Schizosaccharomyces pombe: one gene and its partners. The gene in region 1 interacts genetically with each later gene. Each region holds a gene or a part of one and is shown in the gene's direction. Other genes may lie near its edges. The genes, in order: ras1, moe1, byr1 and byr2.

Region 1 (7,117 bases):
TTGAGAGTTTACGAAAAAAACACTTTAAGTGAGATTGCTCATCATAAGTTTAATGAATATGAAATGGTTGAAAGTATCATTTTAATGAATGATGATAAACGTGTGGTTGTGGGCACAGGTTTCAACTTTCCAGATCAAGATGCCCCAGATTCAGGCCGTTTAATGGTCTTTGAGATGACTTCCGATAATAATATCGAAATGCAAGCTGAACATAAGGTCCAGGGATCTGTGAACACTTTAGTTCTGTATAAACATTTGATAGTCGCCGGCATTAATGCCAGTGTCTGTATTTTCGAATATGAACACGGTACTATGCACGTAAGGAATTCTATTAGGACACCTACTTATACGATCGACATTTCCGTTAATCAGGACGAAATCATCGCAGCAGATTTAATGAAGTCTATTACCGTTCTACAATTTATTGATGATCAACTAATAGAAGTTGCCAGAGACTATCATCCATTGTGGGCAACATCCGTTGAAATTTTGTCAGAAAGAAAGTACTTTGTAACTGAAGCAGATGGCAACGCAGTGATTCTTTTGAGAGACAATGTCTCTCCTCAATTGTCCGATAGAAAAAAGTTACGTTGGTACAAAAAGTTCTATCTTGGTGAATTGATAAATAAAACTAGGCACTGCACATTTATAGAACCACAGGATAAATCCCTTGTCACACCACAGTTGTTATGCGCAACAGTTGACGGCAGCCTCATGATTGTGGGTGATGCCGGAATGTCTAATACTCCTTTGTTACTACAGCTGCAGGATAACATTAGAAAAGTTATACCTTCGTTTGGAGGCTTGAGTCATAAGGAATGGAAAGAGTATCGAGGTGAAAATGAGACCAGTCCATCTGATTTAATTGATGGCTCTTTGATTGAGAGCATCCTTGGTTTACGTGAACCTATATTGAATGAAATTGTAAATGGTGGTCATGAGGGTACAAAGCTTGATATTTCTGTTCAAGATCTAAAAAGTATTATTGAAAATCTTGAGAAACTACATCCTTAACGTTTTCTATCAATTCTGTTTTTGCCGCTAGAATGTAATTTTAAGACTATATGCAATTATCAATGTCTCATTGTATATTTATAGCAAACGAAAATGTTTTTGAATGAAAATCTCCACTATCGTATCTCTTTCCACGGTCGATAAAACGCATGAAAGGAGTTTAACATATACAAAATAATATATGGTGCCGACCTCTTCATGCATGTATTGCGAACACTTGAGCAAAATTTTTAGAAGCTTTTTAATTTTAATAAAGAAATATTTAATGTTCAGTATAGAAAGTTCAAAAGCAATACTTAAATTTGCTGCTAATTTGGTTAAGTTGGGCTGAATAGGGAATTCTTCAAACAATACTTCGTATGCTTTTAAAGGTAGACAAAGCACTAATGCAATATATCTGTCAAATACAAATGGCAGAATTTTTGGTATTTTAATAGAAGATCAAATGTTTATTGATGGATTTAACATAATTAGCTGTTAACATTAATATTTCGTTTTTATTGCACCAGATACCTTTAAAAAATTATAACTTCTGAATTTCTTTATTACTAGCTTGTCGGTTTGCCATCAGTAATTGTTGACTGCATTACTTGAAAACTGCCAAACACATTTTAACGAGCTTAAGACCAACCAATATTTTTTAATTACCAAGCCTACACACTTTTTGTATTTTGTTTTAAAAGCAACCTAAAGAAATATACGATTAAACTTAGTGTGCTTTATAAAATAGTGAATATGAGGGTAAGTCTAAGCAATGACTTGGGGTTATCTTTTATTGATTACAACAAACTAATCAACGATAATATTTATAGTCTACCTACTTAAGAGAGTACAAATTGGTAGTTGTAGGAGATGGTGGTGTTGGTAAAAGTGCTTTGACAATTCAATTAATTCAATCGCATTTTGTTGACGAATACGATCCTACAATCGAAGATTCATATCGGAAAAAGTGTGAAATTGATGGTGAAGGTGCGCTTTTAGATGTATTGGACACGGCCGGTCAAGAGGAATATTCCGCTATGCGTGAACAATATATGAGAACCGGAGAGGGTTTTTTATTAGTTTATAATATTACCTCTCGGTCCTCTTTTGACGAAATTTCTACATTTTATCAACAAATCCTTAGAGTTAAGGATAAGGATACATTTCCAGTCGTTTTAGTGGCTAATAAATGCGACCTTGAAGCTGAACGTGTAGTTTCAAGAGCTGAAGGCGAACAACTTGCAAAAAGCATGCATTGTTTATATGTTGAAACTTCGGCGAAGCTAAGGTTAAATGTAGAAGAAGCTTTTTATAGTTTGGTTCGCACGATCCGTCGCTATAACAAATCAGAAGAAAAAGGTTTTCAGAATAAGCAGGCCGTCCAGACTGCCCAAGTTCCAGCTTCAACTGCTAAAAGAGCTAGCGCTGTAAATAACAGTAAAACCGAAGATGAGGTTTCAACTAAATGTTGTGTTATATGTTAGCAAGTATTATTGCAGAATATTTGAGCTGTTTGGTGAATGCACCGTTCCTGTCTTTTGTTTCATCTCTTTCTTTTCATTTCAATAATTGTTTTTTCATTTAACACAATTATTAGCAGCTATCTTTAAGTACTTCATTTTCCCTTTGAACCATTTGCACATCTAGTTTTGGCTGCTAGTATGATAGCAAATTATTCAATTCAGAGTTGTGGACTTAGAAAAAACGTGTTATTTGACTTTGGGTTGCTATTTCTTGTTCCGTTTTAATAAAATACATCTCTTTCATTGCATGGTCACGATGTAACAATCTGCAACTAATGAATATATCATACACCTATAATCCCGTAGATCTTTTTTTATAAATTTTTAAAAAAGGGATAATTTTTTTCATAGAAAACTATGTCTGCAGTCTCAATCTATCCCTAAAAGCGCTTTGCTGTGATTGTAAACAAAAAAGCTAGTGCTTACCATTGGGATAACCTTAATGTAACCTATGGTAAGTCCAACGAAAAAACCTCTCATACCGGCTTCTTTGTAAGTAGTTTGTACTACCTGCTTAAGTCTAAGAAATGATTTATTTTTTCTGATACCACCAATTTGCATTTTTCGTCGACAAACTTCGAATGGGTAAGAAACCGTTTGACCACAAACTCCTGCAAATGCTCCACAAAGTAGTTCGGGCCAAGTTTTAAGTTTTTTATCTGACTTTTTTGTAGAAACCCATTCGTCAATTTTTTGTTTATGAAAAAAATCAGTTGCAAGATCGTAGGCAAGAAACGACATACCAGCATATGGAAAGATTCCAGTTAACGTAACAGAAAATCCACGATAAAAATTACAGATTTTTGACAAACGGGATAACCCAGGATACTTCTTATTGCACAAAAAATCACGTTCGTGAAATATATCTTTTGTAACTTGAGTTAGGGTAGGATTCTTCCCTGTATTGGTTATGTAGGCTAAACGAACACGAATCAGCTCTAACGGGTATGTAAAAAAAACAGAGCAAGTTCCGGCAAGTGATCCTGATAAAAATCGCCGAGCATGTGTTTCATGTTCAGGGTCACGAATTAAAACACGCCGTACTTGTTCGTATGCAACAAATTTAATGCCCGCATAAGGGAAGACTCTGTATAAAGTAGCAGTGTGGCCTTGATAAAGACCGTGTAAGCCATAGACGTGGTAAATGTGTTTGATAGCCTTATAAAGCCCATGCCGTGAATAAGCATACCCTCGATAAGAAGCGTGATTGGTTTGGTAAAGGATTTTCACTCTATCTAATGGGGCAACTACTGATTTTGCAACGCATCCAGCTGTACCACCAGCAATTCCAGATTTGACTAAGAATTCCCATGAATCCTTTTCCGGATATTGGGCAGTTGAGTTAGGCATGTAGAATCCCTGAAAGTGTTTAAGTTAAATAAAGAGGGGATTAAAAAGATAAATGGAAGGACAAAACTTTTCGTACCAAATGCCTAAACATAAAAAAATTGTTAAAACTGAACGTTTTCAACTTCTTACTACAAACAAAATTACATGTAAATAAGATTTAGCATCAAATGTCCAAATATCTTGGATCAATAACAGTGATTGAAGGAACACGAGAACACTTATAGTAGTAGCAAACAGTAATCTGAATAGAAAACACTTCAGATTGTCCAACAAGATTACCTATAAAGCAATCAATTATGCTTTTGAAAGAAAATGAAAGTATCTTTTAGCTTCTGTTAGAATTCCAGTAAGCCCATAGGTAAGGTAAAAAAAAGGCTGTAATTTAACAAATATATTTGTAGGCTAATAATAAAGGATCAAAAGAAAACCAATCCGTTGCTAAAAAATAAAAAATTAAGCCCCTGAGTATCCCAATAATAAATAAAGAAAGGCACTCCTAATGCTCAAATAATTGTTGAGTTGCCGATTTTTTGGTGTTAATGCCCACAGCACTGGAAGGTGGAAATTAAGCAGGCAGTAATATATTTCTCATAATTAAACAAAAACGTTTACTCAATAGCTTTGGAGATAATTGATGATAATAATTTTGTTTAGATCAATCATAGATTAACATAATAAGAATTTTTGAACTATGATGCTAATTCTCTCAACCTACATAAATTGGTTTATGAACAAAATGGTAAACAAAATGTGATAAACTTAAATAAAGATACTATTAAGGTGAAAATGAAGTTGTGTCTATACATATCCATATTAAAAAAGTTGCTCTAGCAAACTTTAAAAGGAAAATTGCTTGTATATTGAATATGAAGTTCACACTGTAGTAAACTAGTTTTTGTGCAATCGGTAACTGTAAACAAACGATATTTTAAAAGCAGAAACATCAACTTTTTTTACTTATTTGCTAATGCAGTAAAACTTTTCATCCTTGTCTAAACGATCTGTCCTAGCGAATGAATAATGAAATTCACCGAATAAAGATTTTTGTACTAAATAATATGTTACCAACTGTGCATAAAGGAAATATTATATTTTAGCACTTGAAATACCTGTAAATGAATACACATGCTTGTTATACTTTTATAACCAATCACATCGGTAATACCAATGCGAATGCATCCTTTTGATTATGTATAGCATTTGCAAATAAAAAATGATATTAAGAAAGAAGGGGCCATTATTCATGTTGGTCGAATAAGAAAGTACAGAACGACTGACTTACACTGCAAATTATCCTTTTTACCTTTATTGATAAACCGAGAGAATTGCTATTGTAAGATAAAAGTAAAGAATTAATCCGATCCTAAGATATCTAACGTGACACTAAATGAACAAAATGAAAAAAAAAAACACGCCAAGTGCTACACTCATTTCTTCTTCCCCCTTTTTTTTTTCTTTGAACCCTTAGGAGGAGCGGAAGGCTCCGCTTTCTTTTGCTCTGTAACCGGAGAAGCCACTACCTCTTGTTCTATATAACATGACTGTTAGCGAAACGTAAAAATTAGAAGAGCATAGTTACATTAATAACTACTTTTAAAGGAAAACATCTTCCTTCCAAGCGCTTCTTTTTATAACAATGCAAAAACAATTGATATACTAATAATACATACCTGGTTCAGGAGGAATTTCGTTACCTGTGGAGACATAACTAAGTTTGTTTGCAATTAGAAGTAATCTGCCAAGTTCAGCCGCCTTGTCAGTCCTATATTTTAGACATATTCCAGAAGCACTTTCAAAGGCTTTCGCGATTAAATAATTTTGACTCTGCTCATTCGTGCGATATTTGATACTAAGTTTGGTCTAAATGAAAAAAGTCAGAGTTTGATTATCAAAGATATCATCAACACCATACCGTTTTTGGATAAGCCTCCGTTAATGATTTTGACTGTGTGAAGAACTCATTCACAGTTTGCAGGTAAACCATGGTATAGTGGCTGATGGTAGGATCAACACATCAGGCATGCACCTCGTAGTGTTGTCTGAAACACAACTAAGTTATATTTGAGTCAATCGAAGGTTACTAAAATTGAATATAATTCATCCAAAAAACGTAAAAGCTTTTTTTACTATTTTTTCTACTTTTTGGTATACTATATTGGTTTTTCACGTATAACAAACTACTGAAACTATTAGTCGACAAATCTGTCAACTTAAAACATTCCCCTAATTTATGGTATCAAATCAAGACAATGTACAGAGAAATGATGTTCAAAAGTATCCGATAACTAGGTTTGTAAAGCGAAAGAGCAATGTTGTGCTTAAAAAGAACAAAGGAGCTATGAAATCGAATTCAAATTCACGCAGTAGAGGGAACAAAAAATTAAAAGAATCCCAATTTTCTTCTCGAGATAATTTTAGAACCACTCAAACTCAAGCATCTTCGTCAAGTGAGCCTAGTGATAACACGAACAGACTAGTTCCGGTGGTAATTATTGATAATAATACTCCAAAGAAAGAAGAAAGCAATGCCGAAAAGTTAAAGTTAGATAAAGATTCTTCAAGCGTTAATTATGAGAACCAAATCAGCAAACCGCTTATTACTTTCTCCGATATTCACGAAACCGTCAACGTTCCGTTTCTTTGTTTAGACAAGCACGACTCAAAAAATGAGGTTGCGATTAATTCACATGAAGATTCGCCTGTATGTCTTGAAGATATCACCGGGTCACTGTCATCTACTTATGGCAACGATAGTTTAGGTGAATCCAACTTGGAAGAATTACCCACTAGTGATAAAATAAAGGGAGAAAACATGGGAAGTCGAAAGAAACGAAAAGGATTTGTCATTGATTCGGAGGATTCCGACACTGGAATTCCAAGAGAAGAAAATGTTACGATTACGAGAAAGACGAAGCTGTCTTCTAATATACTATATTCCGATTCTGATACCGAGCGACAGAGCGATTCTGGTTCAAAAAACGTTGCAAGACAGTTTTCTCGAATAAAACGAAAAAGGAAAGTTTTGAGCTCATCTTCTGAAGATGATGAAAGTTCATCTCCTGAAGATTTGTTGAAGCCCATAATTAGATCAACAGAAGAAATGGAGAATTTAAATGAATTAGAACAAGAGGTTCAAGATTTGGACCCTATTGATGAAGGTTTCGAAGAAAAAGTGCCAAGATTTCGAAATCCTTCGAAGAAGGCATTTTATGAAAAACTACATAGTTTAAGAAGTAAGTAATTTTTTT
Region 2 (8,243 bases), 2.5 Mb from region 1:
AATGCTGAATCGAATATTAGTAATATTGTTTCATTTAACAGAATTTCAGTGATGTTTTATCAATTGTTACATTAGAATGATTGTTTAACAATATCTAATTTTTTACATGCCGAATCCTTAATTCGAGTTGCTGCCAAGTTTCCTTCTCATGGTTGTTTACACTTTTCCTAAAACAGAATTGTTAAATTAGTTGGTAGCTGATAATTATTTGTTTACTAAACTAAATACCTTCATCGTCAAACCATGAGAAATCTGTCAGAGTCTTTGCAACTGACATATTTTATGGAAAATTTCTATCGCTAATTTATTTAGCATATCTGAGTAGATGAACGCGAGAATAAAAGTGCTAAAACTTTTTGAGTAAACAAATAAATAAAATTATGCAATCAGAATCTACTTAACTTTACCGACGTTATCGCGTACTTTGGCTATTTACTCGACGACAAGGCTATGCCAGCTTTGATACACTGGGACGTTACTTGCTCACGACTTTCGCCTTTGCCAAACAGCCTAGTTCTGTGTGAAACCTCAAACGGCATTGCCGTAGTCATATTATCATTCGAAAATATATAATTTAAAGGTTAATAAGAAGAATTAACGTAAACGTCGAGTCTTATATTATATTAAAAAATGTGGAACCCCAAAAAGAAGTCAGAAGCATTAGCTAAGTTTAAATCCTTTCCTTACCCTAAGCCAGGCACTTCCAATGTACTTGATTCCAAAGAAGGTGATACTAGAAGGAAGTATTTTACCAAGACGCATCTACATAGGTTATTCGTCTTTGTGGTACTGTTGCTCTGCTCAGGCTACTTTTTAAAGCATACACTCTTGACGCGTCCCAAAGAGAGTAATGTTGTTATGATATTTGTCAATAACATCGGAGGTGGCGTTTTAGATGTAAAAAGTCCCAGACAATGGGAGCTGGAGAAGATTTCAACGGAGAACAAGAAGAAATACGCTGAAAGGCACGGATATCATTTCTTTGTGAAGAGCACAGGCTTAAAGAGACGATATGCTCATGAATGGCGTGAATCTTGGGAAAAAGCAGATTATATCATGGAAGCCATGAAGAAATACCCTCATGCTGAATGGTTTTGGTGGGTCGATTTAACAACATTCATCATGGAACCTCAATATTCTCTTGAAAAGCTTATTATTAACAGACTTGACCATATTGCGACCAGGAATATTACTGATAGCATGGAGTTCAATCCAAAAAATTTCCACGAAATTCCATTTGTTGACTATAGTGAAGATATCAACTTTATTTTAGGGCAAGATTGCAACGGTTTCAGTTTGGGTTCTTTTCTGGTTCGTCGAAGTGATTGGACTAGCAGATTGATGGACTTCCTTTGGGATCCAGTAGTCTATGGGCAAAAGCACATGGATTGGCCTCACGATGAGCAAAATGCAATTGAGTACTTCTACGAGAATAATGCTTGGCTTCGAAGCGGCATGGGATTCGTTCCTCTTCGCCTTTTCAATTCATATCCTCCAGGTGCTTGTGCTGGTGAAGGTGAAAATCCTCGTTTCTTTTATAACCAAAAAGAAGGAGACTTCTTGGTAAACTTGGCAGGCTGTAATTATGGAAGGGACTGCCTAGATGAAATAAATCATTATAAGGGATTAGCGCAAAGAAAACGGGGTTGGAGGAAGTTAGTTCCGTTTCTTTAATAGAGACCTCACATATTTCCATCATTATTATTAATATTTTAAATTCATACTTTATCATTCTTTTTCCTTGCGTGTGCTAGGCTGTCAATGCGATCCTTTATCATGTGATGCACTAAACTCTCTCCTTTGCTACTTAGCAGCTTTTGCGGTCATTTAACACTGCTTAATATTTGGTGCTTTCCGTTTTTATACATTAATTTCTTCGCAAACAATTGTTTTAATAGGATTAGATGTGTATATTTTTTATGCGACATGTGATGACAGAAAAGAGAGAATGTCTGAGAACCTTGGCGTTCATTTTTTTCTTTCTTCAAAAGACAGCGTTGACGAAATTAAAATTTTCTAAAACATGCTTTTGTCAGAAACATTTAAGCCTTGAGACAATGACTATAAAGGCAAAGTCTGATGTCGTAATCAGTTTTAAATTATAGCATAACATATCTTTTATTTCAATATCAATTTCTCCCATTTTTTAATTTAATAACATTTAGTGCTGATATAACCTGCTAGTATGATAAAGTAATTCTACCTACTATAGTTTTATAATGTAGTGAGTGGTTGAGATTTCCACATATCGTCTTCTGAATAGGCATGTGGGTTCACAAATAAAGAAGTAGTTTGATAAATACAGTAACATATACTAATTGTTAATAGATGTAGTTTTTCTACAAATATAGCACCTTGATTGCAAAAGGAAATGTATAACATTTAACTTTTTCACGAACCAAAAAGTATATATATTACATTTAAGTACTTTTGTATTACAAATAAAGCTTTAGAACTTCAAATATTACCATTGTTGGCTTTGGTGTTTTAGCGTCTCCCAGTTCGTTTGCACACTATACTGGCGTCCACTTCGAAGAAAACTTCACCACTCCCAAATGGCAACTGGATTTAAATTGCCTGAGTTAGCACCCGTAAAATCAGCATGGGGACCTCCTGAAACGGAACAGATAGGAGGTGATATTCCTTATGCTCCTTTTAGTAAAGGTGACCGTCTTGGAAAAATTGCAGATTGGTCTGTTGATCAACCTAAAGATGGACGTGAACAACGTGGACGTCAAGGAGCATTTGCTGGTCGTTTCCGTGACCAATATCAAACTTATGGTTATGGCGCGTCGTCCATTTTTGGTTATCAGCATTCGGAGGACGAATCCAGTTTCTCGGTGATCGATCGTGGTTCTGTCAATCGTACACGCACTTCCGCTCGCAACGGCGGCACTTTATTGAAGGTTCGCGGTAGAGGACAAAACGTTCAACGAGGTGGTCGTGGCGGTCGCTACGGTTCTTCTGGTGGAAGAGGTGCAGGTGATACAGTGGTTTCTAGATCCTCAGGCGCTGGAGGAGCAAGAGGTCGTCGGTTTGGTTGGAAGGATTATGATAAACATCAACGTCTTCGCAACGCCAGTGTTACTGTTGGTGACGACTGGCAGCTTCTTGACGAGGTTGAGTTCAGCCATTTATCTAAGCTCAATTTAGCTGCTGCTGCTCCTGTTACTGTGGATTCATATGGTTATATTTATCCTTATGACAAATCTTTTGACAAGATTCATGTTAAATCAGAAAAACCATTACAAGCCTTGGACCGTGTTCATTACAACCCTACCACTACTGAAGACCCCGTTATCCAAAAACTCGCTCTTAATAGTGATGCTAACATTTTCATTACGGATTCCATTTTGTCTTTATTGATGTGTTCAACTCGCTCAGTGTATCCCTGGGATATTGTAATTACTCACCAAAGTGGAAAGCTATTCTTTGACAAACGTGAAGGCGGACCTTTTGATTATCTCACTGTCAATGAAAACGCATACGATTCTCCCATGGACGCTGACAACCGCGAAGGTGTTAATTCTCCTGGAGCCCTTTCTGTCGAAGCTACGTACATTAACCAAAACTTCTGCGTCCAAGCTTTACGTGAAACCGAAGAAGAGAAATATAAATTACCTCATCCCAATCCCTTCTATAATTCTAAGGAAGAAAGTGAGCCATTGGCTGCTCACGGTTATATCTATCGGGATGTTGATCTTTCTCTCGAGACAGACGAAAAGCCTGTTAAGCTAATGGTTCGTACCGAAGTTGACGGTTATGTTAAAAATCCTGCGAACGATGTTCAATACATTTCTATCAAGGCTCTTAATGAGTACGATCCCAAATTTACAAATGTTACTGGTTCTGTGGATTGGCGTTCCAAGCTCGAAAGTCAAAGAGGTGCTGTGTTTGCCACTGAAATGAAGAACAATAGTTGCAAGCTTGCCCGTTGGACTGTCGAAGCTTTATTGGCTGGTGTTGATAGCATGAAGGTTGGTTTTGTCAGTCGTTCAAATGCCCGTGACGCTCAGCACCACGGCATTTTGGGTGTTGTAGCTTATAAGCCTGCTGATTTGGCTTCCCAAATGAACTTAAGTTTGTCTAATGGTTGGGGTATTGTTCGTACTATTGCAGATGTCTGTTTGAAAATGCCTGATGGAAAATATGTCCTTGTAAAGGATCCCAACAGACCTATTTTACGCTTGTACTCTGTTCCACCCAACACTTTTGAAGAAGCTGCTGGACCCTCCCTTGAAGCTTCTTCTACTGCTTAAAAAGGACGGATGTAGAAAGTTCATTAAAAAGGTTACATGTATAATACTCAATTACATGTGCAAATCTAAGATCTTTAAATCGGTTTTATATTTTCGGTTTCTTTATTTTTTAATCTTATGAACTGTTTCTCGGTAAATTAGAAGCTAAGTGTAAAGTAATGTATTTGTTGGAATAGTAAAAATGAAGCGAAGGAAAATTAAGTGCCGTTTAATTCATTTGGAAATATCTGATTTTCGATGCTTCCAACGTGATTTTTTTCATGAACATTGCTTTTAACACACTTTAGGGTATTACGGTAAAAAAATTAGAACTCGATTAGTAGAAAACCGATATAGCTCATTGCCACTAGCCAAGAGATCGTAAAACGGTTTCAAGCTTAGTCAGAATATTGTGGTAAAACAAGAGGTAAAGCTTTTAGCAAAAATTCGTTTGAAGAGAATTTACACCGGATTACACTTATAATTTACCATACGTGGTTTACAAAAATAGCTACTAAAAGTTCACTAAGCACGTGAAATAAAGACTTTTACTAAGCATTTGCTTTAATATTGGCTTTTCTATGCAAATCCAAGAAACTGTTCCTTTAGATGCACCAGAGCATTGCCCCGGACCGTCATCTGAAAATGCAGGAACTGCATCAGCATGTGAAGGATGCCCTAATCAACAAATTTGCGCTTCAGCACCTCGTGGAGAAGATCCAGATTTACCATTGGTTGTAGAACGCTTGAAAGAAATCAAGCACAAAATTCTTGTTTTATCAGGTAAAGGAGGTGTTGGAAAGTCCACATTCTCTTCGCAATTAGCATGGGGGTTATCGCTTGAAGAAGACAAGCAGATCGGGTTAATGGACGTGGATATTTGCGGGCCTTCAATTCCGAGAATAATGGGTGTTGAAAAGGAGGAAGCCCATCAATCAAGCAAAGGCTGGTCCCCTATTTATGTATGCCCTAACTTGGCTGTTATGTCAATTGGATTTTTATTACCAAGCGAAGATTCATCTGTTATATGGAGGGGGCCCAAAAAAAACGGGCTGATCAAACAATTCATCAAAGACGTTAACTGGGAAAATTTAGACTATTTGATTGTTGATACTCCTCCGGGAACTAGCGATGAACATTTATCTTTGGTTCAATTTTTTAAAAATTCCGGAATTGATGGTGCTGTTGTAGTTACTACTCCTCAAGAGGTTGCTCTTCAAGACGTCCGTAAAGAAATAGATTTTTGCAGAAAGGCGTCCATCCCTATCCTTGGATTAGTGGAGAACATGAGCGGTTTTGTATGTCCTTCTTGCAAAGGCAAGTCTAATATATTCACTATTACTACAGGAGGAGGTGAAGCGTTAGCAAAAGAAATGGGACTACCATTCTTGGGTAAAATTCCTTTGGACCCATTGATTGCACGTTCATGTGATTTTGGAAAAAGCTTTATTGATGAATGTCCTGAATCGCCTGCTTCCGAAATTATCATTGATATTATTAACAAAATTGATGAGAGTTTACAGAAAAGGCAATGAAAAAAATATAAAAAAAGGTTGGAATCTGCTTAATTTCAATTTTTTTGTATAATATAAAATACGTTTATTCAAATATTTATTGAACCTTCTGAGTATATTCCTTGTATATCCTCATTGAGCACTTAAAGTAAACATGTAGTCATTGTGACATTTTTTGGATTAAAAAGAAATTTGAAATCCTTAGTTAATGGATATAATACAAGACAATGCTAAAGCCTGCAATTCAAATAAAAACTCGCAATCAACATAAGCACATTAGTATTCCGAGGATCTGAAGATGCATTGCCCGCGGAATAGCCGACCACCATAGTGATACCACCAAAATAAAAAATGTCAAAGATGGGATCCTCAAGCATGGGTGAACTTCAGGATGGGATAACCCAAGAAGACTCCATTGAAAAAAAGTCAAAGAATGTTGCTTCACACGGAGAAAAAAGGAAAGTGAAGCGAAAAAAAGAAGACCTAAGTATGGATGGTTCAAATGATGGAGTGAAAGATTCACCAGACTCTAATGACGACTCTCAGAGTAAAAAAAAGAAAAAGAAAAAGTTAAAAAAATCTCAGCAACCGCTAAATGAAGAAAATTACCCTAGATTGCAAACTACGGAAAACAATCTTCAAAAACCCCTAAAAATTAGCGACCTACAAGAGCTTGTATTCTGGTGTTTAGCTGATGGACAGGCTCCTTCATGGGTTCTAGTGAGAAATAAACAAATGATTCATAGAGCAGTGATACTTTTAGTTCCTGGATTGGAGCCTAGTCAATTTGGGTTTCAACCCGTGCGCGGCAACAAGCACTCATTTTTGCTGCCGAATTTGCTAAATGAAAATGGCCCCATTCAATTACCTGATTTTTGTGAAGTGTTTGATCGCGCATGGCCTACGAGATCTCCTGGAGATCGATTTCGTGTCTTTTCTCCGGTGAATGCCTTTTTGCAATCTCCTCTGAGTAATGAACAAAAGAAGAAAAGAGATAAAGAAACACGTGCTATGGCTAGTTTTTCCAAACCATCTGATTACTTAATGAGTTATGAATCTTTCATTGAAGACGAATACCCATTACATCCTACTGTCATGAAGGGTGAAGAGGTTACTCAGCCTTCAGGATGGGTTGCTTCTGCAGGAGATTTTCATTCTCCTCCTATAAATCCCAAAATTCTTGCTATTGATTGCGAAATGGTGCGGACTGAGAACGGGTTAGAAATAGCCAGAGTAACTATTGTAGACATGAAAAGTGAGGTTATTTACGACGAATTTGTAAAACCAGAATCACCCGTCACTGATTATGTTACCCAGTATTCTGGCATAACTGAAGAAAAACTGAGAAATGTTACTACTGTTCTTTCCGATGTTCAATCTTACTTAAAAAAGACTGTGGACAACAATACCGTTCTTTTAGGCCATAGTCTAAATTCTGATCTTAATTGCTTAAAATTTACACACCCTCATATCATTGATACGGCAAACATTTATAATCACACTCGTGGTCCCCCTTCAAAACCATCGCTTAAATGGCTTGCAACGAAGTGGTTGAGGCGTGAGATACAAAAAGCGGGAGCTCTGGGGCACGATTCTGCAGAAGATGCTCTTGCTTGTGTGGATCTTCTAAAGTTGAAAGTTAAGAATGGACCTGCCTTTGGGTTGTTTAACCAAGACTTTGAGTCAATCTTTCATAGATTGTCACGACAGCAGCCAACTCCATTGATTGGTGCAATTGCCGACTATGGTAATCCGGAGTCGTGCATTGGCAAAGCGGCTCATAAAAGCGTTTCTTGTGCGAATGATGATGAAGTCGTAAGCGCTGTTGTAAGTCTTTCAGACATGCATAACTTCGTGTGGGGTCGTTTTCGCGAATTGGAGCATGCGGCTATGTGGAACGCTAATCGAAATACAAAACAAGAAAACAACTCTGATACTGATACAGAGAATGATTCGGTAGAAGAGGACCAAGTAACTAGCTATTCTTCTGCTTTAGAGCGTTTTAATCGAAGAATTCGTCTTTTATACGACTCCTTACCAAAAGGTTCTCTATTGCTTTTGTATACTGGTACTGGAAATCCCATCGAAATGTCAAAATTAAACGCTATTCGCCAACAATTTAGAAAAGAATACCAGACCAAAAAATGGGATGAGCTATCAGTAAAATGGACTGATGAAGAAAATATGAAATATATATCTGCTGTTGAAAACACAAGGAATGGATTGTCTTTTATGACGATCAAATAAGTGTGTTTTTATATTGCGATCAAGTAAATTTTGGGTAAAGGGTCTGCATTTTATTGGTCATAATAGATAGTTGAAGAAAACAATTGTTTTGGTTTATGTATATGTTGAAATTAAGAAAGGTAAACAGCTAGTCAGACACGTATATTAGGGGCGTTTTTATTATTGGATGCCACTAACGCTACCTTGATTGTAGATTAATACCTTTCCTTCTAGTAATGTGTTTCTAGAATGCGCTAACCTTTTC
Region 3 (8,034 bases), 1.4 Mb from region 1:
TGATTGATAGAGATTGCCAAGAGACATTAGGTAAAATAAAACGTAACAGTTTTGACGATCTGCTGATTTGCTTGATGTCAACCTTGGGTATGTTTTCATTAAACATGATTGCTGATGGGTTTCATAATTCGTGAAAAATTGATAAAGCACTTTTCCTTATCATCTACACATAAGTGAACAGGCAAATCAATCCGTATTGTCTCCTCAACATACGGAATGTCATTAAAACCGGTAAACTGTACTAACCGGTGATTACGGGATAATAAAAAACCACTTCATTCATTTCAAAAACTGTTGATATAGTATTCTGTATGATTTCAAGAAGATAACTCTTCGGTGACTTGCTGTTTATTGCTCACCTGGCGATTCTAATTCCTTTTATTTTTTATCCTGATACGTATGTATTTGTTTTTCCCTCTTTAGAATAATATTCATTAAGCTTGAATAAGCGGTTATTAGTTTGCAAATGATTCAGCAGCTATATGTGAGTTTGCCCTTTTTCACTTGTCTACAGAGTCGGGAATTGACTTGTAAAACAAAATAAATGGAATATTGCAAATGTATTCTTTTTGCCTTGTGTTTATTTAGGAGTAGTATTGCGGAAACTTGTTTTCAGAAAACAAAGTAGCGCTTATGCTCGGTAACTACGAAAATACGAATTTTTTTTCCAATAAACTAGTATTTATTAAGCAATTGCATCTTCCATTAACCATGTCATTTCCATCAATGTATAGTTGTATGTACACCATGTATTTACGAATATTATCCAATTTAACGTACTTTACAGTATTTTGCTTATAAATGTTTACCGTACCAACTCAGCGTTCTTCATAATCCAGTTCTATATGCACTACAAATATAAAGCAGCCACTGTTAATTTCAGGACTCATTCTTTAAGCTTGGATCGACAAGTAGTTTCTCCTGAGATTCTCACTGTAAAGTAGCTCACTTAAACCTTAGGTCAGAATTATTTCTTGGTTCGTTTTGTTTTACCCTCTTCCATCCCATGTTTATTTATTTATCTTTGTGAACTTATTCATATTTGTGTATCAGTGATTGACGACTAAATATTGAACCAAAGCAGAACCTACCTCATTCTTATAATACCCATAAAAATTTATTTCTCGCTTTATTCATTTCATTTTTATGAAGCGATTGTTAAGCGATCTTTACCCACTATTATTCATCAATGCTAGTTCATAATTCTTTTGTTTCAACTTTTTATCTTATTATTTAATTCCTAAATTTTTTTTTGGTCCAATAGGCTGTCATATACTCAAATTAATTTCCTCAAAGTCAACGGATTACACCCATAATGAAGTTCTATATTGACGATCTACCTATTCTGTTTCCTTATCCACGCATCTATCCCGAGCAGTATCAGTATATGTGTGATTTGAAACATTCTTTGGATGCGGGAGGCATTGCGCTCTTAGAAATGCCTTCGGGTACTGGAAAGACCATTTCTCTTTTGTCCCTTATTGTTTCATATCAACAACATTATCCTGAGCATCGCAAGCTCATCTATTGTTCACGTACCATGTCGGAAATTGATAAAGCATTAGCTGAATTGAAGCGTTTAATGGCGTATCGGACTTCACAGTTAGGATATGAAGAACCATTTTTGGGTCTCGGACTAACCAGTCGCAAAAATTTATGTTTACACCCTTCTGTTCGTCGTGAAAAAAATGGGAATGTGGTAGATGCCCGTTGTCGCTCACTTACGGCGGGTTTTGTGCGGGAGCAAAGATTGGCTGGTATGGATGTTCCTACTTGTGAGTTCCACGACAATTTGGAAGATCTTGAGCCACACAGCCTTATATCTAACGGTGTTTGGACCCTTGATGATATCACAGAATACGGCGAAAAAACTACACGATGCCCCTATTTTACTGTACGTCGTATGCTACCGTTTTGTAATGTTATTATTTATTCGTATCATTATTTACTAGACCCCAAAATTGCTGAACGAGTTTCTCGAGAACTCAGTAAAGATTGCATTGTTGTTTTTGATGAAGCACACAATATTGACAATGTGTGTATTGAGTCTTTAAGTATTGATTTGACAGAATCTTCTTTGAGAAAAGCTTCGAAGAGCATTTTGTCTCTTGAGCAAAAAGTCAACGAAGTAAAACAGTCTGACTCAAAAAAACTTCAGGATGAATACCAAAAGCTTGTTCGGGGCCTTCAAGATGCTAATGCCGCAAATGACGAAGACCAGTTTATGGCGAATCCCGTTTTGCCTGAGGATGTTTTAAAGGAAGCTGTTCCTGGAAATATTCGACGAGCCGAACATTTTATTGCATTTTTGAAGCGTTTTGTAGAATATTTAAAAACAAGGATGAAAGTTTTGCACGTTATTGCTGAAACACCAACTTCTTTTTTGCAACATGTTAAAGACATTACATTTATAGACAAAAAGCCGCTTCGGTTTTGCGCTGAGCGACTCACTAGTCTTGTTCGTGCCTTACAAATTTCACTAGTTGAAGATTTTCATTCTTTGCAGCAAGTAGTAGCTTTTGCGACCCTTGTTGCTACTTATGAGCGTGGATTTATCCTAATTTTGGAACCCTTTGAAACAGAAAATGCTACAGTTCCCAATCCAATATTGCGGTTTTCCTGTCTTGACGCCTCAATAGCTATTAAACCAGTTTTCGAAAGATTTAGGTCTGTGATTATCACGAGTGGTACTTTATCCCCCCTCGATATGTACCCCAAGATGTTGCAGTTTAATACTGTTATGCAGGAATCGTATGGAATGTCACTTGCACGAAACTGTTTCCTTCCTATGGTAGTTACTCGGGGTAGCGATCAAGTAGCTATTTCTTCAAAATTTGAAGCCCGTAATGATCCTAGTGTTGTTCGCAATTACGGTAATATACTGGTTGAGTTTTCGAAAATTACACCTGATGGCTTAGTCGCATTTTTTCCAAGTTATCTCTACCTTGAAAGTATTGTTTCTAGTTGGCAAAGTATGGGTATTCTAGATGAAGTCTGGAAGTATAAGTTGATTTTGGTGGAAACACCAGATCCTCATGAAACAACTCTCGCCTTAGAGACTTACCGGGCTGCTTGCAGCAATGGCCGTGGAGCAGTATTGCTGTCAGTCGCTAGAGGAAAAGTCTCAGAAGGAGTGGATTTTGATCATCATTATGGTAGAGCAGTAATCATGTTTGGTATTCCGTATCAGTATACTGAGAGTCGTGTTTTAAAAGCACGGTTAGAATTTCTGAGGGATACGTATCAAATTCGGGAAGCAGATTTCTTAACATTTGATGCCATGCGGCATGCTGCCCAATGTTTAGGTCGCGTTTTGCGTGGAAAAGATGATCATGGAATTATGGTGTTAGCAGATAAACGATATGGTCGGTCTGATAAGCGTACAAAATTACCTAAATGGATTCAACAGTATATAACCGAAGGCGCTACAAATTTAAGCACTGATATGTCCCTCGCTTTGGCGAAAAAATTTTTACGAACTATGGCACAGCCTTTCACTGCGTCTGATCAGGAAGGGATTTCTTGGTGGAGTCTTGATGATTTGTTGATTCATCAGAAGAAAGCATTGAAGTCTGCGGCTATAGAACAATCCAAACATGAGGATGAGATGGATATTGATGTGGTTGAAACTTAATAGAAGCCATTTGTAAAATACTTTGATTCTAATCATCTTTACTAAGGCAATCCAAAACTCATGAACACAGCGATGAAGATATTTGGAAGCGAATGGCTAACTTTTTTGTAGGTGTGGACAATGTATGTATCAACTTGTATTCGAGAGTTGTATAGTGGACATTTCAATCGTCATCACGATACGCATGCTACTTACGAATTGTTTTAAGATCGCAGAGCAGAGAAAAAATATTATTTACACTCAGTTGGCAATTAATTTGCGAGTCGCTAAATTCGAAGTACTTTAAAATTTTTTTAGAGACTGTGTTCAAATAAAATCGGTTTCAGTTGTTGTAATGCTTCTTAAATTTTCCATCCCATCAATAACAATCCAGCGTTTCAAAGAGTGATTATTGGCAATTTCATGCTGCTATGGAAATTAAGCTTACATTAAGCGAGCTAGTTAAAATACGTGATGCAGTAATTGTAAGCCTAGTTATATAAACAAAACATCTGTTTATCATTTAGATACATAAAACAAAAGTTTACATATTCATAATATATTCTCATAATCTAAAAAATTTCCTTGATAGTTTTATGTCGATAAAATTAGTCTCCCATACTTAGTTCTAAATAAATGAACGTTTTGGGGTTGTACAACTGATTCATTGCTGTATTCTATGTAATATATAAATTTCTTGAAAATAAAAAATCTTTTGGTTTTACGGATTCACGGTTGGCTTATACGTAATTGCCAAGCACATATAAGATCAATGATGGTTTCTTTACCAAACTACTGTATAAAAAAATTACTCTAGCACAAAAAGGATACCGCTTTCAGGAATTCTTAAATATAGAAAAAAAAATAAGTGTAGCTTATTGCAAGGGTTGTCTCTAGTCACGTTGGGGTAGTCAGAATCCTGTCATAACTACTGCTTTGTATCTTTGATTAGCAAAGTAACTTATTGAATACAGTCAGCTGTCAAATTACAGAAAAAGAAGCAACTTTAATAGTATCTTAAATGATATAATCTTCGATACAGGTTTCTTTGAGAATTTGGCCAATAGCTAGAAATGTTTAAACGACGTCGAAATCCAAAAGGTCTTGTGTTGAATCCTAACGCCTCTGTTAAAAGCTCTGATAATGATCATAAGGAAGAGTTAATTAACAATCAAAAAAGCTTTGAATCCAATGTCGAAGCATTTATGGAGCAATGTGCGCATATGAATCGACGCCCAGCTTGGATATCTGATTTGGACAATAGCAGTTTGGAAGTAGTGAGGCATTTGGGAGAGGGAAATGGTGGGGCTGTTTCATTGGTAAAGCATAGAAATATTTTTATGGCTAGGAAAACAGTTTATGTTGGGTCAGACTCTAAACTTCAGAAGCAGATTTTGCGAGAGTTAGGTGTTCTACACCACTGTCGTTCACCCTACATAGTCGGTTTTTATGGAGCTTTTCAGTATAAAAACAACATTTCATTATGTATGGAATACATGGATTGCGGATCGCTTGATGCAATTCTTCGGGAGGGAGGTCCTATTCCGTTAGATATTCTAGGAAAAATTATAAATTCTATGGTGAAGGGTCTCATTTATTTATACAACGTTTTACATATCATTCACAGGGATTTAAAGCCTAGCAACGTTGTCGTCAACTCTCGTGGTGAAATAAAGTTATGCGATTTTGGAGTTTCAGGTGAACTAGTTAACTCGGTTGCTCAAACGTTTGTGGGGACTTCAACTTATATGTCTCCTGAACGAATTAGAGGTGGAAAATATACAGTCAAAAGTGATATTTGGTCTCTAGGAATCAGCATTATTGAACTTGCCACCCAAGAATTACCTTGGTCGTTTTCGAATATCGATGATTCAATAGGGATCCTAGATTTGCTTCATTGTATTGTTCAAGAAGAACCACCTAGACTTCCATCTTCGTTTCCTGAAGACCTCAGACTTTTCGTTGATGCCTGTTTACATAAAGACCCTACACTTCGCGCCTCTCCACAACAACTCTGTGCGATGCCATATTTTCAACAGGCTCTTATGATTAATGTTGACCTTGCTTCTTGGGCCTCCAACTTTAGATCCTCGTAAATGTGCAAAGGACGCAATGGATACATAAATTATGTTAGACCTTTAAACATCTTGTCGTCAAAAAGAAGGATTTCAGAAAAATCTTTTTAAATTAAACTTTGTCATGAAATGGATATTTTTGGTTCTAACCACACCTCTTCAATTATAGTGGTACAACACAATGTGGAGAACAATGAGATTTTGTCGTTGACGAATATTTCCGCTTTTTTCTTAATACAAAGCATTATTAGATCGGCCATAAATAGGTATCATATTTTGTTTATCAATTTTTTACTTCATTAAAGTGCTATGTAAATGCCCTCTTTTTTTGGTTATTCCATTATTAATTATCATTACGACTGTGTTCAAATGTAATTCTCGGTACACTGAATTGCTTTCGATTTAAGTCAATGAATGTTTTTTTTAACTACTTGAGTTACAGCGTCCACAATAGTCTGAGTTAAGTTTTACCCAAGCAAGTTAATCAGAGTCCTGCATGTCAAATCGCACAACTTCTAATAAACCAGATGATAAAAAATTAAAGCTTAAAGCCCGTAGTTTGCAAATATTACAATTAATACATAAACCATTCAGATGTAAAATTTAACGAAGTAAGCAATTATTATTTACTTGCCAGCTATGCAGTTTGGTATCTGTGTTAACGATACGTAGACTCCAAAGAGTTTTCCTTGTGACCTATTATATTGCAATATACAGGTAATATTTGTAGCTACAGGTTGTATGTATTATACTATCTAGATTATATTGTTACCTATCATTAATTTAGCTATTAACTGAACTGAGGAATGAGGATCAACAGTAGCTCTATTTACAGTATTCAAAATAATATAAATTTTTAAGAGATTATTATTAAGATCACCTAAATATCGTAACGTACGTGTACGATGAATAATTAGGACATGTGACATATAGTGATAATCAACGTAAGTATTATAGCGTAGCGTAATATTACTAACGGCGAACTGCGTAGCTAGTATGCTATTTCTGATTCGAAAAACCACTGTAATAAGTAGCGAAGTACTTTAAGTTTTCATTTCACTTTAACACCAAGCTTTCTGGGTTTTTACTTGTTTGCAAGACGCAGCAAAAGATTTATCAGTGATTAGTGCTGTAGATTGAATTTAGTTAGCCTTGTCACTTGTTAACATTAAAAAATTTTGTTGCAATCCGTTTCACTACGATTGTAATTTTTAACAAGTGTTCATGACTTCGTTGCCAGAAAAGGATCAGCAAGGCGAAGTTAGTGTTTCAGGTAAGAAGTTCGAGGTAATACCGATTAATTTTTTATTAACAGAATATAATTTTAGAAAATCAAAAGAAGCTCTCAGAGGAATGGGAGCCTTATATTGATAAACTTGTTGCATCTAATAGAACGCGTGACGAACGTGTTGAATCAATCCAAGAATTGTTTCAAAAATGTGTCATTGAAGAGAAGTTACCAGTAGACATATTTTTCTCTATTTTTTCCTTAGCTTTTGAAAGATTGGAGGAAAAAAATACCTTAGCTTCTTATGTAATTGATACGCTTTGGTTATTTGACACAGAGTGGATCAAAAACTTTCACGAAGGAAGTCATGATAAAGCTGAAAAGAGGCTTGTTTCAATTGGAAAAGGACTAAAGGAATTCCTTCCAGAGGAATGGTTGCTTTCTCGCTTGGATTGCAAATTTTTGGAAAATATTAATGTCGTTCCTAATGGCGATTTTCTAAATCGGAAAATTGTGCGGACAAATACTTCGCTACTCTACCGCCAAAAAAAATTTAATTTGCTTAGAGAAGAAAGTGAAGGATTTTCACATTTAATGATAAACTTTTTTGATGCTTTAACTTGTCTTCGCAATAAATCCTTAAACGAAGATTATCTGATCGTTCAAGTAAATAAGTCAATTATCAGTACTATTGGTGCTTTTGATTTAGATCCGAACAAAGTACTGGATTTGATTTTGTTGCTTTTTTCTGAAAATTTACTTGATTCGTGGCGCTTTTTCCTTTCTATCTTGAGAAACAGCCCATGGGGTCCGAATAAAGAGCGGAAATTTTGGAATCAGTTACCTGATCGCGAAAAGGAAACATTTTTAAATAATCTGTCTAATGCTAATGGTATTTTTAATTTTGACGAGCGATTCACCAATACAAAGAGCATAATGTCTCAAGTTTTGGGTCATAATTTGCAATATATGTATAAAGAAGATGACGAGAATTTGGAATCTTACTTTATGATGGTTGCTTTGTTGATTAAATATAATTTTATTAGCATTGATAACATATGGGCTCATCTTTCTCCATCAGATGAAGAGCTTGGTAAAGAGTTGGGTAAATATAAGGA
Region 4 (8,638 bases), on another chromosome or scaffold:
AATACAATCCCAGGTAATCTTAACATGCCTTCGGTTGCTAACGTTCAACAACGTATTTCTCCTGTCTGCAAAACTAACATGGAGGATCAGGAAGAAACCGTTTATACCGGAGGTGTTGCTGCTAAACTGGATTACAAGATGGATCAAATGGTGGAATACTTGTCTATCATGACTTGTAAGTTGTATGCTCGTTTCCTGAATAATGCTCAAATGCATTCTCTTGCTAACTCTTTACCTGGTCTTGTGTTTTCTTTCCGTAAGGTCGTTACACAAATTTTGACGTCTACGCGTTTACCTCGTGCCTCTTGCTTGCTTGCCTTGTCATACCTTTCCGATCGTCTTGACGCCGCATCTCAAACGACTGATTTTGTAAACCAGTGGACTAAGGAGTCGTTATTCTTCCAAATATGTGCTCTTTTAACGACCGCCTTGATTTTGGCTAATAAGTTTTTGGATGACAATACGTTTACCAATCAATCCTGGTCGCAAGTTACTGGTTTCCGTACTGCCTTGTTGAACAGCTTTGAACAAGACTGGCTAGCTAGCATGTCCTGGAATCTTAGTCCCGGTCCTCGTGGTCAAAAGGCATGGGAGTGGTGGAGTGCTTCTTATTCTTTGTTTACTTCCTCAAACGCTACATACTCTGGTGAACAAAAAACTTATAGCCCTACTACGTTGAGCACCAACGCACCACCATCGCCCTCTTCTGGACGTTCTTGCTCTAATTGCAACTACTATTATCCCTATACACCCGTGGGATATTATCCAGTGTACAATCGCTATGCAATGACTTAGTGATCGTGCTTACTTTCTGCGGGTGTTGTTGCTTGACGGGGTTTGTTTTTCGTTTCCTTGCGCTTATAAACACTTTACGTGTTTTTGTTATTCTTGTAACTTTTTTCTCTTTTCATATTGTATGACGGGAACTTTTGTTTAACCCGTCATATTGTATTCTCTAATCATCTCCGTGATGAATTCGGCTCTCTTGAAATTAATTTGCCGTTTGATCTTGCTTTTCTACTTTCTTATTTTTTCAAATTTTAACAGAGAAAAAAAAAATTTCCCAAAAAAAATTGAAAAGTAGTATACCGAAAAAAAGGAACCAACTTCTTATCAGTATCTGTTTTATTTTTGTCGTTGGACTTTTATTTTGCTTTCTCGTGTGGCTTTGTTATCTATTGGAATATCTTTTGATGCAATTCTGATTTGTTAATACTGCTTGATGTATATACATCCGCTACTACTATAGGGATCGCGGATTTCCTTTTTAAAGTTCGCCTTCAAAAATTAGTAGTCTACTTATACAACTAGCTTCATCAAGAAATACATTGTGAATAGATGAAAAGGCCCATGGATGCTTTGAGTTTATTTTTCTGTTTCATTAGCAAAGATTTTACTTCGGGCATCGTTTTTGTCCTTATTTTGTTTATTTTTTCTCCTTTTGATACTTAAATGAGAAACCTTTGCTTGCTGTTTTCTAAGGATTAAGCATAAAATTTTTTATTGCGATTTTCCAACTCCCAAACTGTTTGTTATGATTACCTAGTTTTATTGCGCATTCGTCGTATGTCTACTAGTGAGATAACGGATTTATATAATCTCTTATACTTGATTCTGTTGCACTGAATCGTGCTTTTTAATTCTGAATTATGTTGTCTTTGAATGTTTTCCGTGTTTCTAAAAATTGCATAATCGTTATTCTTCTGTCTAGATTCTGCATTGTTAAGCTACCAAGAAGCGGCGAAGCGTTTGCATCTATCTAATCGTGTAGGCATCATATCAAACGTTTGGTATTATGGTTACAAAAATTGCTTTCCAAAAAAACAATAAATTCTGTTTTATCAATAATCTCTCAACTTTTATAAGTGAACGCGTCCATCCTAGTTCTGATGCCAATAAAGTGTAAAGTAAGTTTAATTTGTAATATTATTTTTTTGTCAAATTTCTGAAGACTTTAAAGTAAGCGTTCAACATCGCTAAATATATTTAGGAATCTACAAAATAATAATTTTAAATATCGACACCTTGTGTACTACCCTTACCTAGATCCTGATCAGTTGTAAACCCCACCCGCCACTTTACCACCTAACAACAACTAACTACCCAACAGTAACTCGATAAAAATGTCTATGGAATTAGATCAGTCCTTGGACGCCATAATTGCTTCAAAGCCTAAAGGAGGTATTAGAAAGCGTCGTGCGCGCTCTAACAAGCCAAAGCCAACAAAGAACGCGAAACCCGCAGTGAACACTGCCTCTGCCCTTAAATCCGTCATTTCTGAGGAATCTAAAATTATTGTTTCTAACTTACCTACTGACGTTACCGAGGCTCAAGTTAAGGAGCTTTTTGTGAAATCCATAGGACCTTGCAAACGCGTTTCCTTGGCTTACGGTCCCAACGGTCGTTCGAAAGGTATTGCAACTATCATTTTTTCTCGTCCTGGTGATGCCACTCGAGCTTATGAACAGTATGAGGGTCGTTTGGTTGATGGCACTAGAAAAATGAAGGTTGAGATAATCCTTGATCCTAGTCGTCAATTGAATTCTTTGGCTGCACGTGTAAGTCCTGCCAGCAACGCTAGCGCCACTGCTAGCAAGAATGGCGCCAAATCTTCCAAGCGGAAGACTACACGCCGCCGTAGAACTCCTAATCGTCCTAAAAAATCCGCCGAAGAGCTCGACAAGGAGATGGATGATTATTTTGGATCAAATGAGAAGGAGTAACTTTAATAATTTGAAGATTCTACTATATATACATATATTTTGAAGATGTCAAATGCTTCTTGGTATTAATAACGACCTATACAACATACTCCCTCAGTTAAATAATATTGGCAATATAATGCTGTTTCGAATGGCAGTTCTTGAAGTTGTTTTTGTGTTTTGGGTCTTTCGTAATGGATTTGGAGAAGTGAGCTGAACCAGTTCTTGTTAGTATATATGGTGTGTATTGGGTCATATTGCCATTATGCCATTATTTCAAAGAATTTCATTAAATTTTTTATTTATATCTCTTTTTTGATAGACATATATGTTTCATTGACATCGAACGAATTTGGTTACTTATTTCTTTTTCGGTGGTTAACGTTGGGTTGGAGGTTTTGACTTTTGCTAACTTTTGACATATCTGTTGATTTGTAGTATGCAAGCTTAAACGCTACCAAGAAGCTAAGCTTTGAGTCGAGTTCATTATTAGCATATCTGTTCACCTGTTATGTTTGCAACTTTATCAGCTCTTGTGCAGAAATCCTTTATGGTTGATAAGCGCTCCCTTCTTGTTTAATACAAAAGCAAAACCTATGTAGACAGTGGTTAAAAGAGGTGGATAATGGTAGCTTCGGCTACTGTTACTTTATTTAATCTAAGTTACTGTACAAGGCAGCTGTTTTGATCATCATGTTGCTAAACTATACTGGGTTGAGCTTACCGACAGGGTTTATTATTGCATGTTTGCTGAAAGTCAAAGCTTCCATACCCCAACTTGACTGTGTTTATTATGTTCATGATGGTTTTTGGTTCACGTCACACTTATTCCAAGTCTTGTTTTACTATATGTGGCACGGCTTGTTTGGATGAGGAATTTCTATTCGTAAAATCATCGCGTTCGATGGCTCTATTTCATCTTTGTCAAATTGTACATGACAGAACTGGCTTCATTCCTTCCTTTGTATGTAAACCACATTTATAGAACTTTTCCACGATTGCATTTTAAACTCGCTGATTGATGAATTACGCGCAATGCATTCTTTTGAAACTTTTAAACCCTAGTCACTTCCATTCCCGTTTTTTTTGCTTCCGACGTTTATTATTATTTGTAAATTATTGTTATGGTTGAATTGCCGACCGTATCTCGAAATTTGTTTTGGTAAACATTGCTTGGTTTTATGTTCGAACCATTGTCACATCAAACAATTTAAATTGAAGTCCCACACATATATTTTTGGCACTTATAATTTTGATTTTTTTGAAAGATCTGTACGATCCGTCGTGATTGTGTTACAAACCAAAAATCGCTTTCAGAATGCGCATTTGCGGGTTGCTAATTTTAGTGCGCGATTCTTGCCGTCCTCTGAAACCGATTGAAACATTGAAATTGTTAAAACAGTACTTTACGTTCGTACCTTAAACCAGTAGTATCTGAACGGTGGTTAACGACATTTGTATTGCAGATAAAGAGAAAGATTATTATTCACTTGCTACACATGGTTTATACGAAAGTTTTAGATTTTAATATCTGATTACAATTTCTCGTCGATATTTAGACTCCTTGTGGAACTCGTATATGTACGTAAGTGTTATTTAATAGATATCTGAATCTGTGCCGGGTGAGAATTGCAATACCTATATAAACAAGCAGCCTTTACGAATTTTTTGGCAGCTTCATTTTGGTAATGAGATTTAGTGAAACTAATATCGGTTATAAAGTGTATAGTTATATTGTTACGTCAAAGAGCACGAGACTAAGGGAGGCAGGTTAAACGTAAATGCTACCAACTTTGAACTTAGAAGTTATACGTTGTACAACCACTTTCCTGCATTTATGGAATATTATACCTCGAAGGAGGTAGCAGAATGGTTGAAAAGTATCGGATTGGAGAAGTATATCGAACAATTTTCACAAAATAACATTGAAGGACGACACCTAAATCATTTAACCTTGCCTTTACTGAAAGACCTAGGCATTGAAAACACCGCCAAAGGCAAACAATTTTTAAAACAAAGAGACTATTTACGAGAGTTTCCACGTCCATGTATACTGAGGTTTATTGCCTGTAACGGGCAAACTCGAGCAGTTCAATCACGAGGAGATTACCAGAAAACACTCGCTATTGCTTTGAAAAAGTTTAGCCTTGAAGATGCTTCAAAATTCATTGTATGCGTTTCACAGAGTAGTCGAATTAAGCTGATTACTGAAGAAGAATTTAAACAAATTTGTTTTAATTCATCTTCACCGGAACGCGACAGGTTAATTATTGTGCCAAAAGAAAAGCCTTGTCCATCGTTTGAAGACCTCCGCCGTTCTTGGGAGATTGAATTGGCTCAACCGGCAGCATTATCATCACAGTCCTCCCTTTCTCCTAAACTTTCCTCTGTTCTTCCCACGAGCACTCAGAAACGAAGTGTCCGCTCAAATAATGCGAAACCATTTGAATCCTACCAGCGACCTCCTAGCGAGCTTATTAATTCTAGAATTTCCGATTTTTTCCCCGATCATCAACCAAAGCTACTGGAAAAAACAATATCAAACTCTCTTCGTAGAAACCTTAGCATACGTACGTCTCAAGGGCACAATCTTGGTAATTTTGGTCAAGAAATTTTGCCAAGAAGCTCTCGGCGGGCTCGCCCTTCCGAATTGGTTTGTCCTCTTTCCTCTCTGAGGATTTCTGTTGCTGAAGATGTTAACCGACTTCCTAGGATTGATAGGGGATTTGATCCTCCACTTACTGTATCTTCTACTCAGCGTATTTCTAGACCACCATCGCTTCAAAAATCCATAACCATGGTTGGTGTGGAACCTTTATACCAGTCCAACGGAAATGAAAAATCGTCGAAGTATAATGTTTTTTCAGAAAGCGCGCATGGCAACCATCAAGTACTTTCCTTTTCACCTGGTTCATCCCCATCATTTATTGAGCAACCATCCCCAATTTCTCCAACTTCCACTACAAGTGAGGACACAAATACACTTGAAGAGGACACTGATGATCAGTCTATCAAATGGATACGTGGTGCGTTAATAGGTTCAGGATCGTTTGGACAAGTTTATCTCGGTATGAATGCATCTAGTGGTGAGTTGATGGCTGTTAAGCAAGTGATCTTAGATTCTGTTTCTGAATCAAAAGACCGCCATGCCAAACTTTTAGATGCATTAGCGGGTGAAATTGCTCTTCTACAGGAGTTGTCTCATGAGCATATTGTCCAATATCTCGGTTCTAACTTAAATTCGGACCACTTGAACATTTTTTTGGAATATGTTCCTGGGGGGTCGGTTGCCGGATTGCTTACAATGTATGGAAGCTTTGAGGAAACGCTAGTCAAGAACTTTATTAAGCAAACCCTTAAAGGCTTAGAATACCTTCATTCACGCGGCATTGTACACCGTGATATAAAAGGTGCGAACATCTTGGTTGATAATAAAGGGAAGATTAAAATTTCGGACTTTGGGATATCGAAGAAACTTGAACTAAATAGTACCTCTACGAAGACGGGTGGTGCTCGCCCTTCTTTTCAAGGCTCTTCTTTTTGGATGGCTCCCGAAGTGGTGAAGCAAACTATGCATACGGAGAAAACAGATATTTGGTCTTTGGGATGTTTGGTAATCGAGATGCTCACTAGTAAGCACCCTTATCCGAATTGTGATCAAATGCAGGCCATTTTCAGAATTGGGGAGAACATTCTGCCGGAATTCCCTTCTAACATTTCTTCATCGGCCATAGATTTCCTTGAGAAAACGTTTGCCATAGATTGTAATCTTAGACCTACAGCATCAGAGTTGTTGAGCCACCCGTTCGTTTCATAAGCCGGCTAAGTTATGATGAAAACAGAAACATTATTTTACGATCTATCTTTTTTATGTTTTTTTGCATCATTATCATTGCATTTATGCCATTTAGAACTAATGAATTTATTTAACCTATAAACCGTATGATTTAAGTTGCTATATTTTTCTACAATATTCATGTTTTTAATGATTTTGTGAATGTCCTTGATAAATACCATTATGAGTTTAGTTACTAAAAAAATACTATTTTACATGTTCAGTTTGTTTAAAAAATATCCATTGATTATTCCTTTTCAAGAAAAAACTTTTTATTTTTATTTACTTTGTGAAAACGATAACATAAATATATAATAACACATATCTACGGGAATTCTATCACTTAAACAAGTAAAACTCAAAAACGTATGTATGCATTAGTCGTAGAGAAGGGGATTTTTTGTTCACTCCTTGAGGAGAAAAGATTAGGTATAGTAGATATAAAATAAATTGTCTACTATCCAACATAGCCTTCCTTATTTCCATCTGTAAATGGAATAAGACTGCTGACGAAAAAACGAGCCAAACGGGTATCTTTGGAATTGGTTGTTATATTTACGTTAAATCCAGGTAAAGAGTGCGGATACATCTCATAAACAGCTTCAATTTGGGGAAATAAAGGCATGACTTCACTTGGTAAACCAAAAGATATGTTTCCTGTTTGATCTCCGCTTGTAGGACTCAGGCCCTTGAAATCATGAAGCTGAGGAAGAACCAACTCAGATAAGATTGAAAGAAATGTATACATAGATTCTCCAGTTAGAGTAACCTTTACACCTACTGGCACACCTGAACGAAGTTTCCAGGGAGAAACGTCCTTACGTGCATAGACTATTTCGGGCTGCAAACCCGTTATAGAACGAAATGCCATCATTGTACTCAAGAGCTGCGTTTTGTCAACGAGTGCTTCTTTATGCATAGTGCTGACGACAACTTTGCTAATAGAAGGAAGGTTTTTAGGATTAACGGACTCCTTTACTGGTAACAGAGGCTTATTACCACGCATTTTCTGAGGAGGCCGGTTTTTATAATAAGGGTTATCACCAATCCACCTTGGAAGTCTGTCTTTCTGTGTATGTTCATCTGTGCTTAACGCTGTATCTATGTCATGTCGATATGAAGCAGCTAATACATCCGGTAAAATGGTATCATGCAAGTGTTCTTGTAAGCGATTTAACATGGTGGGTCCTGGACGAAAATACTCAGAATTTGGATCCCATCCTGGTAGGGGCCTATTCTTGCCCAGTTTTTGCTTTACAGTGATGGTTCTTCGCTGCAGAAAGTTAACTGATATTCTGATATTTTTTCTTATCCCAAGCATTGTTAAAAATTAAAAAATGAATTAAAACAAGTATAATGACAAAGAGAAACCAAAAGCGACAAAAATACAACAGGTTACTTTCTAGGGAATTTTCGTGAAAATCCTTTTGCTTTATAAGCAGATGAGCACTTGTGTTATAATTTACCAATAAATTATAGTAAATAACACAAATCCGGGAAAAAATATTTATAATCACGAAACAAGGAAATTGTAAAGACCAATGTCCACAAATGATACCTGTTTCTCAAATCTTCAAAGGAAGGTTTTAACAAATGGTTATGGATAAAACAGGTAAGTCTCGCAACCAAAACAATTTTGCAATGGATCTTAGGTACTAGGGCTGGAAGATTGCTCGCGTTTGTCTAGTGTATTGTCATGGTTAGTGTACCGTATTACCTAGTGCCAAGTAAGGAAATCCGAGGCATCGTTATAATCATATGCCACACGATTTTGAGTGCCAAGTGTAATAGAAAGTATTGTACTTGTAACTTACAAACTTATTTAAACAAGTTAGCTTTAAAGCTTTAAGCTGATGTCTTTCTGTTTTTTTTTATACGTCGAAAAACAAATGTTTTTCCTTCAGCTGGTACATAAAAAAGCAGCTAATTGCTCTTCTTTTACAAGATGATTTTATTTTTGTATTTCTCAAAATCGTGCCAAATGGCATGCCACACATATTCAAATTATTGGAAAGTATTATTACTAACTGGCTCTACAAACTATTTGGATAGGATAGTGATGCATGTCATAAGATCACTTTCATGCAATAACAATACTAAT

What was found.
Region 2: mutations in ras1 (region 1) and moe1 are lethal when combined (synthetic lethality), as found in Schizosaccharomyces pombe (2 studies listed by BioGRID).
Region 3: of ras1 (region 1) and byr1, changing one suppresses a phenotype caused by changing the other (phenotypic suppression), as found in Schizosaccharomyces pombe (4 studies listed by BioGRID, with this or other methods).
Region 4: of ras1 (region 1) and byr2, changing one suppresses a phenotype caused by changing the other (phenotypic suppression), as found in Schizosaccharomyces pombe (6 studies listed by BioGRID, with this or other methods).

Annotation. Positions count from the first base shown.
Region 1 is NC_003424.3:2,015,121-2,022,237, reverse strand, and holds ras1 (GTPase Ras1), read left to right. Parts: upstream 1-1,606; 5' UTR 1,607-1,749; coding exon 1,750-1,755; exon of another isoform or gene 1,756-1,826; coding exon 1,827-2,480; 3' UTR 2,481-2,776; downstream 2,777-7,117. Other genes in the region: protein Ddb1, read left to right, coding at 1-1,014; leu5 (coenzyme A transporter), read right to left, coding at 2,889-3,869; signal recognition particle subunit Srp21, read right to left, coding at 5,297-5,397, 5,540-5,729, 5,782-5,853; SPOM_SPAC17H9.06C (uncharacterized protein), read left to right, coding at 6,100-7,102. UniProt on the Schizosaccharomyces pombe protein: Participates in the process of sexual differentiation and the determination of cell shape. Essential for mating and for recognition of the mating pheromone, but not for vegetative growth. Does not regulate the intracellular cAMP level.
Region 2 is NC_003424.3:4,549,296-4,557,538, forward strand, and holds moe1 (translation initiation factor eIF3d), read left to right. Parts: upstream 1-2,544; 5' UTR 2,545-2,555; coding exon 2,556-4,259; 3' UTR 4,260-4,446; downstream 4,447-8,243. Other genes in the region: gmh5 (alpha-1,2-galactosyltransferase), read left to right, coding at 631-1,674; Fe-sulfur cluster assembly ATPase Nbp35, read left to right, coding at 4,820-5,773; rex1 (putative ribonuclease H70), read left to right, coding at 6,128-7,999. UniProt on the Schizosaccharomyces pombe protein: mRNA cap-binding component of the eukaryotic translation initiation factor 3 (eIF-3) complex, which is involved in protein synthesis of a specialized repertoire of mRNAs and, together with other initiation factors, stimulates binding of mRNA and methionyl-tRNAi to the 40S ribosome.
Region 3 is NC_003424.3:663,467-671,500, forward strand, and holds byr1 (MAP kinase kinase Byr1), read left to right. Parts: upstream 1-4,537; 5' UTR 4,538-4,686; coding exon 4,687-5,709; 3' UTR 5,710-6,276; downstream 6,277-8,034. Other genes in the region: transcription factor TFIIH complex subunit Rad15 , read left to right, coding at 1,316-3,634; THO complex subunit Tho2, read left to right, coding at 6,913-6,961, 7,017-8,034.
Region 4 is NC_003423.3:1,738,198-1,746,835, reverse strand, and holds byr2 (MAP kinase kinase kinase Byr2), read left to right. Parts: upstream 1-4,491; 5' UTR 4,492-4,539; coding exon 4,540-6,519; 3' UTR 6,520-6,788; downstream 6,789-8,638. Other genes in the region: cyclin Clg1, read left to right, coding at 1-795; RNA-binding protein Mlo3, read left to right, coding at 2,124-2,723; mrpl7 (mitochondrial 54S ribosomal protein uL5m), read right to left, coding at 6,995-7,858. UniProt on the Schizosaccharomyces pombe protein: Serine/threonine protein kinase involved in conjugation and sporulation. It is thought that it phosphorylates the byr1 protein kinase which itself phosphorylate the spk1 kinase.